2 linked regions of the Coturnix japonica genome follow. The protein of the gene in region 1 binds, or shares a complex with, the protein of each later gene. Links are inferred from orthologs where the notes say so. Each region holds a gene or a part of one and is shown on either strand. Other genes may lie near its edges. The genes, in order: DFFB and DFFA.

The links.
Region 2: the proteins of DFFB (region 1) and DFFA are in contact, whole or in part, in an NMR structure (PDB 1F2R), measured with the Mus musculus proteins. The link is inferred for Coturnix japonica from reciprocal best matches to the Homo sapiens genes DFFB and DFFA. Residues at the interface, in NP_031885.3 of Mus musculus: Cys10, Lys12, Arg14, Ala19, Cys20, Lys21, Phe22, Gly23, Val24, Ala25, Ala26, Arg39; in NP_001020467.1 of Mus musculus: Asp66, Thr68, Ile69, Val70, Asp71, Asp72, Asp74, Tyr75, Trp94, Tyr96, Asp100.

What each region holds. Positions count from the first base shown.
Region 1 is NC_029536.1:769,996-774,513, reverse strand, and holds the start of DFFB (DNA fragmentation factor subunit beta), read left to right. Parts: upstream 1-1,471; 5' UTR 1,472-1,558; coding exon 1,559-1,672; intron 1,673-1,733; coding exon 1,734-1,860; intron 1,861-1,933; coding exon 1,934-2,122; intron 2,123-2,610; coding exon 2,611-2,690; intron 2,691-2,811; coding exon 2,812-2,985; intron 2,986-3,209; coding exon 3,210-3,310; intron 3,311-3,598; coding exon 3,599-3,815; 3' UTR 3,816-4,518. Other genes in the region: CEP104 (centrosomal protein of 104 kDa), read right to left, coding at 1-37, 565-677. UniProt on the Homo sapiens protein: Nuclease that induces DNA fragmentation and chromatin condensation during apoptosis. Degrades naked DNA and induces apoptotic morphology.
Region 2 is NC_029536.1:3,186,298-3,190,808, reverse strand, and holds the start of DFFA (DNA fragmentation factor subunit alpha), read left to right. Parts: upstream 1-1,625; 5' UTR 1,626-1,705; coding exon 1,706-1,802; intron 1,803-1,879; coding exon 1,880-2,041; intron 2,042-2,183; coding exon 2,184-2,314; intron 2,315-2,669; coding exon 2,670-2,859; intron 2,860-3,201; coding exon 3,202-3,356; intron 3,357-3,755; coding exon 3,756-3,959; 3' UTR 3,960-4,511. Other genes in the region: peroxisomal membrane protein PEX14, read right to left, coding at 1,489-1,524. UniProt on the Homo sapiens protein: Inhibitor of the caspase-activated DNase (DFF40).

The sequences.
Region 1 (4,518 bases):
CAACTGCAGAACAATTTCTTGTGGATACTGACAGAGTCTGAAAGGACACACAGTTTTGAGCCACCTTTTTAAAGATCACTTGGTTTCCAACTTGAATAACATTTAATCATGCAACTTTGTAAAGCTCTTATAGTTTGCCATTGTTAAAATATCATAAAAACAAAGAGTAGAAACATTTTTCACTTTAATGCACGCGTGTGTCTGTTAAAAGTGCACTGCTGTTGTGGTTTAACATAGCAGCCTGTCAGTCACTATGAAGGAAAACGACTGTTCCAGCTGAAACTAAAACAACTACATACACCCAGAAGATGTATTGAGAAGACTGTAGTTTTAATTCCAAGCCAACGCAGTTGCAAATTGTTAATATGACCTTTCAGTGTAACCAAGGCTATTTTTCTCCTGCAGAATAAGGCCTCCACAGGGTTAAAAGTAACTTAGATGCTTTGGTTTAATAACCAGTTTGGTCTAGCATGCATTAAACTAGTCTGAAAACACATGCTGCATCTCCCACTCAATGTAAACTCAGTGCTGTAGGATTAAGCACGTTGCTCTCACTTGCAGTACCTTGGTGATCGCCATCCGTTCACTGTTGGTGCGTGGACCATCAGCTCTTTTGCACTGAAGCCATCTTCGTGCCCCGATGAGCTGACGACTATAAAGCCAATCTTGTGTGGCATCCTGCAGAGGCGAGCTATACAAAACAACCATGTTTCAAACTTAAGCTAATCCTTAGGAGGGCAATAAAACAACACCGAAACACTGCAGTCCAAGAATTCTGTACCGTGGTCCATTAATTCAGCAGCTGCCGACTGTAAATCTGAATTTATTTAATGCTAGCACCATAAACTGTACCATTTTCTTTTATGTTTTATCAGGGCTTAGTGAAGTGAGGGCTTGGTTAACTTGGACAGCAAGATCAACTGTGTTAAAAGGCAGAACCCCAATTATTTGTGGGCTCCTTCCAAGTCCAGAAGGTCTAAATCTAACACACGAATGGTGATGAGCACAGAAGCTTCTCCTTGCTCCACTTGCCCAGCTGCAAAACCTTCAGAGCAACGTGACATCCCTCCCCATAGGTCTGGAAGGAAATAATCATTACAGTAACAACAAGAACAGAATCAACTTAAGCAGGAGTCACCCAGTGACGTTTCACAGCCATGCACGTCCCCAGGCCACAGCCAAACACACACACACAGCAGGAGCTGTGAGGGCAGCACATCGATCCCCATTGCGATGTTAAGCAATTACTTTCCGCCCTTCCCTCAGCAGGAGGCCTTGGGAGGGCAGCGCCCCGCAGGCCTCAGAGAAGCCAGCTCGGGAAAACGGCCCCTACCGAGCCATGAGCCGCCACGTAGGGGACCTGGATACTGGGATGGCTTAACACAGCTTTTCAAAGGGAGCTTTGAGAGCAGAGAGAAGCAAAATGGAGCGACCCGGCCGAGCCGGGCCTACACCGCACTCACCTCAGCGCGGCTCCATCGCTTGTCACCTTAGCAACAGCGTGAGCGCCGCCACGCATGCGCAGCACCCACCGCAGGGAGGCGGGAGAGCGGCTGTCATGGCGGCTCCCCTCAGGCCGTTCCGCCTCCGCCGCCCCGGCAGCGCGCAGAAGTTCGGGGCTGCGGCCGGGAGCCTGCGTGGGTTACTGCGGAAAGGATGCCGGCTGCTGCAGGTGTGGGACGGGGGGACACGGGTTGTGGGTTGTTGTGGGTCTCGTGTGACCGTCCGGGCAGCTCCCGTTGGCAGGGAGCCGGCTGTGCCTCTACGAGGACGGGACGGAGCTGAGCGAGCCGTTCTTCCGCACGTTATCGCCGCACACGGAGCTGGTGCTGCTGCGGCCCGGGGAGAGCTGGACGGGATGTGAGTGACAGGGGCGCGGTGATACGGGATGATAAAGGCTGATAAAGGCTCCTAAAGGCCGCTCCGTGTGCAGGCTGCGGGGACGTGGAGCGGTTCCTGGTCGCACTGTGCAGCCGCACGGACGCGGTGGTGGAGGCCGCACGGCGGCTGCTGCAGGACGAGCGGGCGCCCCGCAGGCAGAAGCTGCTGGCGGATCTTATACACAACATGAGCGGGGACAGCGCTGCAGAGCGACGGGATGAGGACGGGAAGTGGTTCGAAGGTGTGTGTGCTTCGTGAGTGTGTACTGATAAGAGCCTGGCCTTGTCCTCATGCCCTTCTGATATCTATAAGCACTCACATCCCCTCTTGGCCGCCTTCTCCCCATCGTTCTCATCCTTTCCAGGCCCCCCCTCTGCTGGGTGTCCCACAGATCCCACTGCCTTGACCAGAGGAGCCCAGAACTGGGCACAGTGTTCCACACACAAAGAGCACGACAATGCTATTTGATAGAGCAAATCCTCAGCTACAAAACGCTGCTTTTCTACACACTCATCACTATTAGCTGTGTGTTTCCACTGGTGATAAACAGCCTGTTTGCTACCTGACACATCAACCCTGCTCTCACAGTAGATGCTCTGTGTGGTTCTGTTAAGCCCAGCAATAAAATAAAGCCTGTATGCTGAGTTTGTGAGCAAAAGCCATAGGTACACGTCGAAGAAGATGCACAGAATTGGAAGTACTGTACTAAATGAAGCTGCTTCTCTTTAGGTCTAGAATCTCGTTTTAAGAACAAATCAAGTTATATGCGGTACAGCTGTGAAAGCAGGATACGGAGCTACATGAAGGAGGTAAAAGTGATTACATGTACACTAAGCACACACAAATGTATGTTTAAGTACAAGCATGGTACTTGCATTAGAGACCTGCTCCAGACACCAAGGAGTGACTGTACTTCTGTTTTTCTTTTAGGTTAGTAATTTTATCTCAAATGTTCATCCTACAGCAAGAGATGCGTATAGAAGGATACTTGAGCTGATGTCGGATAAACTGAAGTCTGTGAGATATAACGGCAGCTACTTTGACAGGACAGAGGAGGAGGCAGCGGTGCGGCTGTGCACAAAGGAGGGATGGTTCTCTTGTCAGGTAGGTTCAGCCCTGCCCCAAAGCAGTCTCGGTTCTAACAAGCAGCACTGACAACATTAGAGGGGGGAGATGGTGACTTCAGTGCTTGCATAGAGAAGAGCTGAGTTTTGGCAACATTATCACCTGTGTGTGGTTGTAGTGAGATGGAGCTGCATCAGTTCAGGACTGGGACTGAGCTGGGATGATGAACAACGTGCCTTTCATCGCAGCCACCTTTTTTACAGGGCCCTTTTGACAGAGATGACTGCCCATGTAAGCATTCTATCAACCCCTATACGAACAGGGAAAGCAGAATCCTCTTCAGCACCTGGAATCTCGATCACATGTATGTATAATGCATGTATAAATCCAGATTTACCTGCTCAGATTTTGTTTGTATGGGAATTTACCCCTTTCCACCATGTTATCCTTTATGAAGGATATCCTCGTGTCCCTCTTTCCAGGCATTGTGCATTTCTGAAGCAAAGCTAAATTGATTCCTTCCTAAAACCATTTTAAACCCAGTTATGGTGAGAGAATGCAACTTCTGCCTTGCTTTAAAAGGAAGATGGAGGCATATTGTTAAGAAAGCAGATTTTGATGGCAATATTGTTTTCTCTTTTGCATTCTGCAGAATAGAAAAGAAACGCAGCGTTGTCCCAGAGCTGGCAGAAGCTGTCAAAACACGAGATGGAAGAGAAGTGAACTGGGAGTACTTCTATCAGCTATTGTTTACAGTGGATAATCTAAAGCTTGTCCATATTGCTTGCCATAAGAAAACCAATCATAATCTCAGCTGTGACAAAACTAAGATTTACAGAAAAAGGAAGCAAAGCCGTGAGATTTCATAGCGCTCCCTTTGGAAGCAACTGCTGGTTTTGGTTTCTTTCCATTTCAAAATCATGTAAGATGGTATAATGTTTAAATAGCTCTTGTTTCTTAAACAAAACCTTACTTAGCTGGTCTCTTCTGCAAGGACTTCTTCCTTTATCACCTCCAGTGCATTCATTGAACTGCAATCTCACAAAGCATGCGCTCAGATCGTGCCTCCTTCTCCCACCTCAGATGACACTGCTGAGTGTGATAATCTGACTCATAGCTGCAATGTGCAAAATAGAGGCCAGAAGCTGACACTGATGATACCTTATGATTTCTTGCTTGCTGTGATAAATGTAGGTGCAAAATGCACAGTGCAGAAACTGAACTTACACAGAACGTTTCTTATAAATTAAGTAGATTAATACTGCTCTGAACGTTAAGCCAAACAAAGAATACTTCAGGGTAATTATTCTGTGCCTTTACCAGGAAGACAGGCGCTGTATTGCAGACAGGCCAAATGATTCAGTGGCAGAGCTGCTGGCTCTTCTATATGAAGACACCTGCACTCATCTGTGACCATTCAATCTACTGTTGCATAGATGCAAGTCTTCTAGAAGGATGCTTCACTGCATCTCTGCTTTTACCACCCTTGTGCTCTGTCATCTTTCCCACTGATTTGCTTCACCTTTCAGTCTCTGCCTCTCTAGATTTTGCTTTCTTGAAGCAATACATAAA
Region 2 (4,511 bases), about 2.4 Mb from region 1:
AGCCTGCATCCAAAATGCAAACATCAAGCCTTCTTTCAAGGCAAAGCAATACTAAAGAAGTATAAAACAGAGACTTAAAGGGTGCATTGAGTGTACACGATATCATAGGAACCCAAATGTTTCTCAGGCAATCGCATTTACCAATTAAGCAGACTTCTTCATTGGAAACCTGCAGGCAGCTGCCTCATGGACTGCCCCAGGTGGCTCACAGATCAGTCTGAGGCTGTTTCAGGCTTCCTCCTGTTGACAGAGCTCAACCCACATCATGAGGAACAGATTGATGTGCCTGCACCTCAAGGTGCTACTGATGAAAGCACACAACCAGCACAGAACTGCCCAGCAAGCCAACCAGCAGCCTGATAATGGGGCCTATACAGCCTGGGAGCTCACAGTGTCAGAGCACAGCCTTTATGGAACGTATCTCATCTCTGTTTAGTTCAGCAATGCTCACTACAAACTTAGCTTTTTCAGTCCAAAATAAAAGTACCAATGGAAACGTGTGTGGTGATTCAGTCAAATGAGAACAGACGTGAATGACTGCACAGAAAAGCGAAGCAGACTTTGCTGTTTCCCTCCCTGCTCCTCTCTCCTTCACCTGCAAGGAAAGGCCTTTCTGCAACCGCTTCAAGGATGGTTTTACAGCCTTCATATGGTCCAGCATAGCACTGCATCAGAGGCAGAGGTGAGATGAGGAGTGCCAGGTCCCTGCTCCTGGGCTCGGTTGGCAGTGTGTGACACTGGGGTTATGCTGCACTCTGTCCTATGGCACCGCCTTTGGGGTTTCCCTCACAGCTGGCTGGAAACCCACAATGAGTGCAGCTCCACCATGCTGCCATCTTCCCTTCTGCCTTCCCCGTTTGCTTCAGGGCCCAGTTTATGAAACCCCAGCGATCCCAGCACCTGCCCAGAGCAGACAGTCACTCCATCACACCCGTGCCTCTCCCCACGCCCCACACTCACTCGTGGGCAGCGTTTGCATCGCGCCTGTCATTGCAGTGCCCTTTGGTGCCATTGCTTCAAGGATCTCCCAACCTGTTTGTTGCGAGGCAGAATCACTTGGTCTACCTGACGTGCAGACCCACCTGACGGGCACTGTGCCTGTCTGTACCCGGGCTCTGCGTTGGTTTGTTCCCACTTTTTTTATCCTCCCATCCAAGTGCTTAACTCCACACACACACATACACACACAGAGCTCCCCGAGGCCGGGCAGCCGCTCCATGCGGGATCCTCCTCCCCTCTGCCCCTGGAGGCCGCTATGAGGGGGGGGCGGGCGGCGGTCGGAGCTGAGGCCGCGCGTGGGGGGCAGGAGCGAAACCCAGATCACGAGGAGGCGGCGGGGACGGCAGGGGAATCAAGGCAGGGAATGGAGGCCCGCAGCTCGCAGCCCTGCCCTCCCTTCACCCTGACCTCTCCCCCGCGGCTCTGTTGGCAGCCCGGCCCTGCCCGCCCCGCTGCCCGAGCAGAGCGCACAGCTCCGGCCCCTCGTACCTGGCTGGGCTGCTCCGCTTGCTCCGAGGCCGCCATCTTCCCAGGCCCGGCTAATCCATGCCCGCCCAGGCGATGGCACAGCCCGCCCCGCCGCCCGTAGCGCCGCAGGCAGCACGAGCCGAGCTCCGCACCGCCGATACAGCACAACGCGATGCTCTGCCGCACGGAGCTCGTGTCCCTTTAAGGCGGCTGCGGAACTACGCGGCCCATCGCGGCCATGGCGGGGCGGCTGAAGCCGTGCGTGGTGCGGCGGGGAGACGGCAGCGAGCAGCACGGGCTGGCAGCGTCCTGCCTGCGGGAGCTGCGCGATAAGGGTGAGCGGCGCTGCACGGGCACGGCCCGCTCATACAGCACGGGGTCAGAACGGCATTAAACGTTTCTCTGCGCGCAGCTGGACGAGCTCTGGGTATCGGCGAGGACGGGCGGCCCGTCACCTTGGTGCTGGCGGAGGATGGAACCATCGTGGACGACGAGGATTATTTCATGTGCCTGCCCGCAAACACCGCCTTCGTGGCGCTGGGCAAAGGAGAGAGGTGGTGCGGGACGAGCGCAGGTACGAGCGGGGCTAGGGACCTCGGAAAGGAGGCAAAGGGCATAGAAAAGCAGCGTTAAATAGCTTTAAATGGGTAACGGCTGTCGTCCCGATCTCGATAGCTTTGTGTTTTCATCTTTTGGCTGCTGATGTGATGTGGCAGGCGGCAGATCGGGCTGGCTATCACAGCCTGCGGATGAAGTGGACAGCGGGGCAGAGAGGTGGAGGCAGCTGGCACGGCAGCTGAAGGGAGACCTGTCCAACATCATCCTGATGTCTGAAGGAGACCTGCAGGTACGGGGGGTGGGGGACACCAGGCTCATCCATCCATTGCAAAGGATGGCATAAATTGGATCACTTAATTCAGCTCTTGTTTCTTTGGCTGTGGTGCTAACGTGAAAATTCTCCTTGAGGGGGATTCCTTGTTCCACTGACAGCACCAGCGTCTGAGGAAGATGCTCTAAACCACTGACTGTCCCTCACATCATGTCTTTGTGCCTCTGCCCCTTCTTGCCTTCCTGAAACATGCAGATTCTCAAGTGCCAGCCTTGAGGCTCCGTCATTCAGGCTTGTCGTTTGTGCTGTAATCAGTGTGATGGAATTGCTCATCACTCAGTCCATAGAACAGGAACACTCCTATCGTTTGAAGGTGCTGATTGACATACCACGTTCAGATCTGGCAGAGGAACTTGCCCAAAGTCAAACCAAAACCCAGGTACTGCAGGACACCCTGCAGCAGGTGCTGGACAGACGAGAAGAGGAACGTCAGTCAAAGCAGCTCCTGGAACTCTACTTAGAGGCCTTGAAAAATGAAGACAGCGTCTTAAGCAAAGTAGCAGGTAGGGAACGTGAGGATATTGAAGAAGGAGCTTCTCAGAGAAGCCTGAAAGAGTTGAGTGGGACAGATAAGTGGGGGAAGGATTGGAGTGAGTCACTTGCTATTAACATGGGTGATTGAATAGCTGGTGTAGTGGAAGAATACCCTGAGTGGGAGGAGTCCTTTCACTGCTTACAGTGCCTGAAAGTAGAATATGGGGGCAAAGCTTACGTAGTGTAGTCATCCTTAATACTATGGGTTTCCTAAGTTAGAGACTGAGTATCTAATCTTAAAAAGAACAGCGCAGTCTGGGCTATGCTTCCCGTCCTGTGTGTGTGGCTGTAATGATTCTTCTGCTTTTCAGAGTCTGAGAGCGTACCAAGAAAGGAGATGGATGTGGTCGACACAGGTACCAGCAGTGCAGGGACTTCAGCCACAACAGCCCTCAGTGTCCAGATCTGTGCTGTTCTGAAAGAGAAACCTGCCCCAGAGCTCTGCTTAGACAGTCAGACTCTAGAGGTGGGTGAGGATCATACAACCATGTTCTGGCACATCTCTCCTGTCTGGATAAAGGGTTGAGAGCTGAAGCTTCTGTGGCATGAAAAGGAAAGTCTGGGTAAACTAGCCATGACAAAGTGTTCTGATGATATGAAATTATTAATCTCGCTTTTCTGTGCTGCAGAAGCTAGGGAACTGTTTTCCGTTAGTTGGAACGTAGAGCTTCAAGCTCTAAGTACTGGTAGGATATAAAGAAAAATAAATTCGCTTAGGAGATACAAGCTGCAGGCTGGAAACATCTTCAACACCAAATTAGCATTAAAGAGGTGTCTCATTACTCCTGTTCTTGGTGCGTGCGGGCAGGCGGTTGTGGTGGTAGAGCATCAGTGGGCAGCACTGCTACAAATCTTTCTCTTACAGCTGGTGGTGAAGGAAGACACTCAAGCCCTGGCTGCAGCTTTAAGCTGGGACAAGCAGAAAGCCGAAGCTGTACAACAAGCTTGTGATCAGGAGCTCTCCAAGCGTCTACAGCAAGTGCAGACTTTGCACTCCCTGAGGAGCACATCGAGGGGCAAGAAAGCGCTGCCCTGTGGAGATGGGCTCAGTTCAAAACGCAGGAAATAAGACTATAGCTCTGCCTCAAGTGTCAGGGAAATGCAAGTAGTTGTGGGTTGCATTTTTTGTGGTTGTTTTTTTAATTAGAACCAACAGAAATAAGGTATGTCCTGGGAGCCATAGTTTGCTGGTCATACTGTGGTCTGGCTGCAGAAAACTAAGATTTGGACATTGTCCTGAGGCATAAATACTTGTGCTGATTCAAATCATGTGTAACCAAAGGGATGTGGACTTTTTGCAGAGTACTAGAACAATGGTATTGCTAAACACAGCGTGTAAGAGTTCAGCTCTGAATAGCTCATTGGGAGCCAGAAAATTCCATCTGATGGTGCTGATCTGGCTGTGAAGCCTTGGACAGTTTGTTCACCTTCCCACCATCTACAGCAGAAAGGATGAAAATTACCTACATCGTTAATGAACAGGAATCAGGCATTTTGATCATTGCTCACTGAACAGTTTTTAGGGGGGGGTTGAGGGATTTATTGTGATATTATCATTGTGCCATTTTTTCAGCCGCTTCCTTTCATCTCCAGCCTGGTATGTAGGCACTTGGAATTCTCA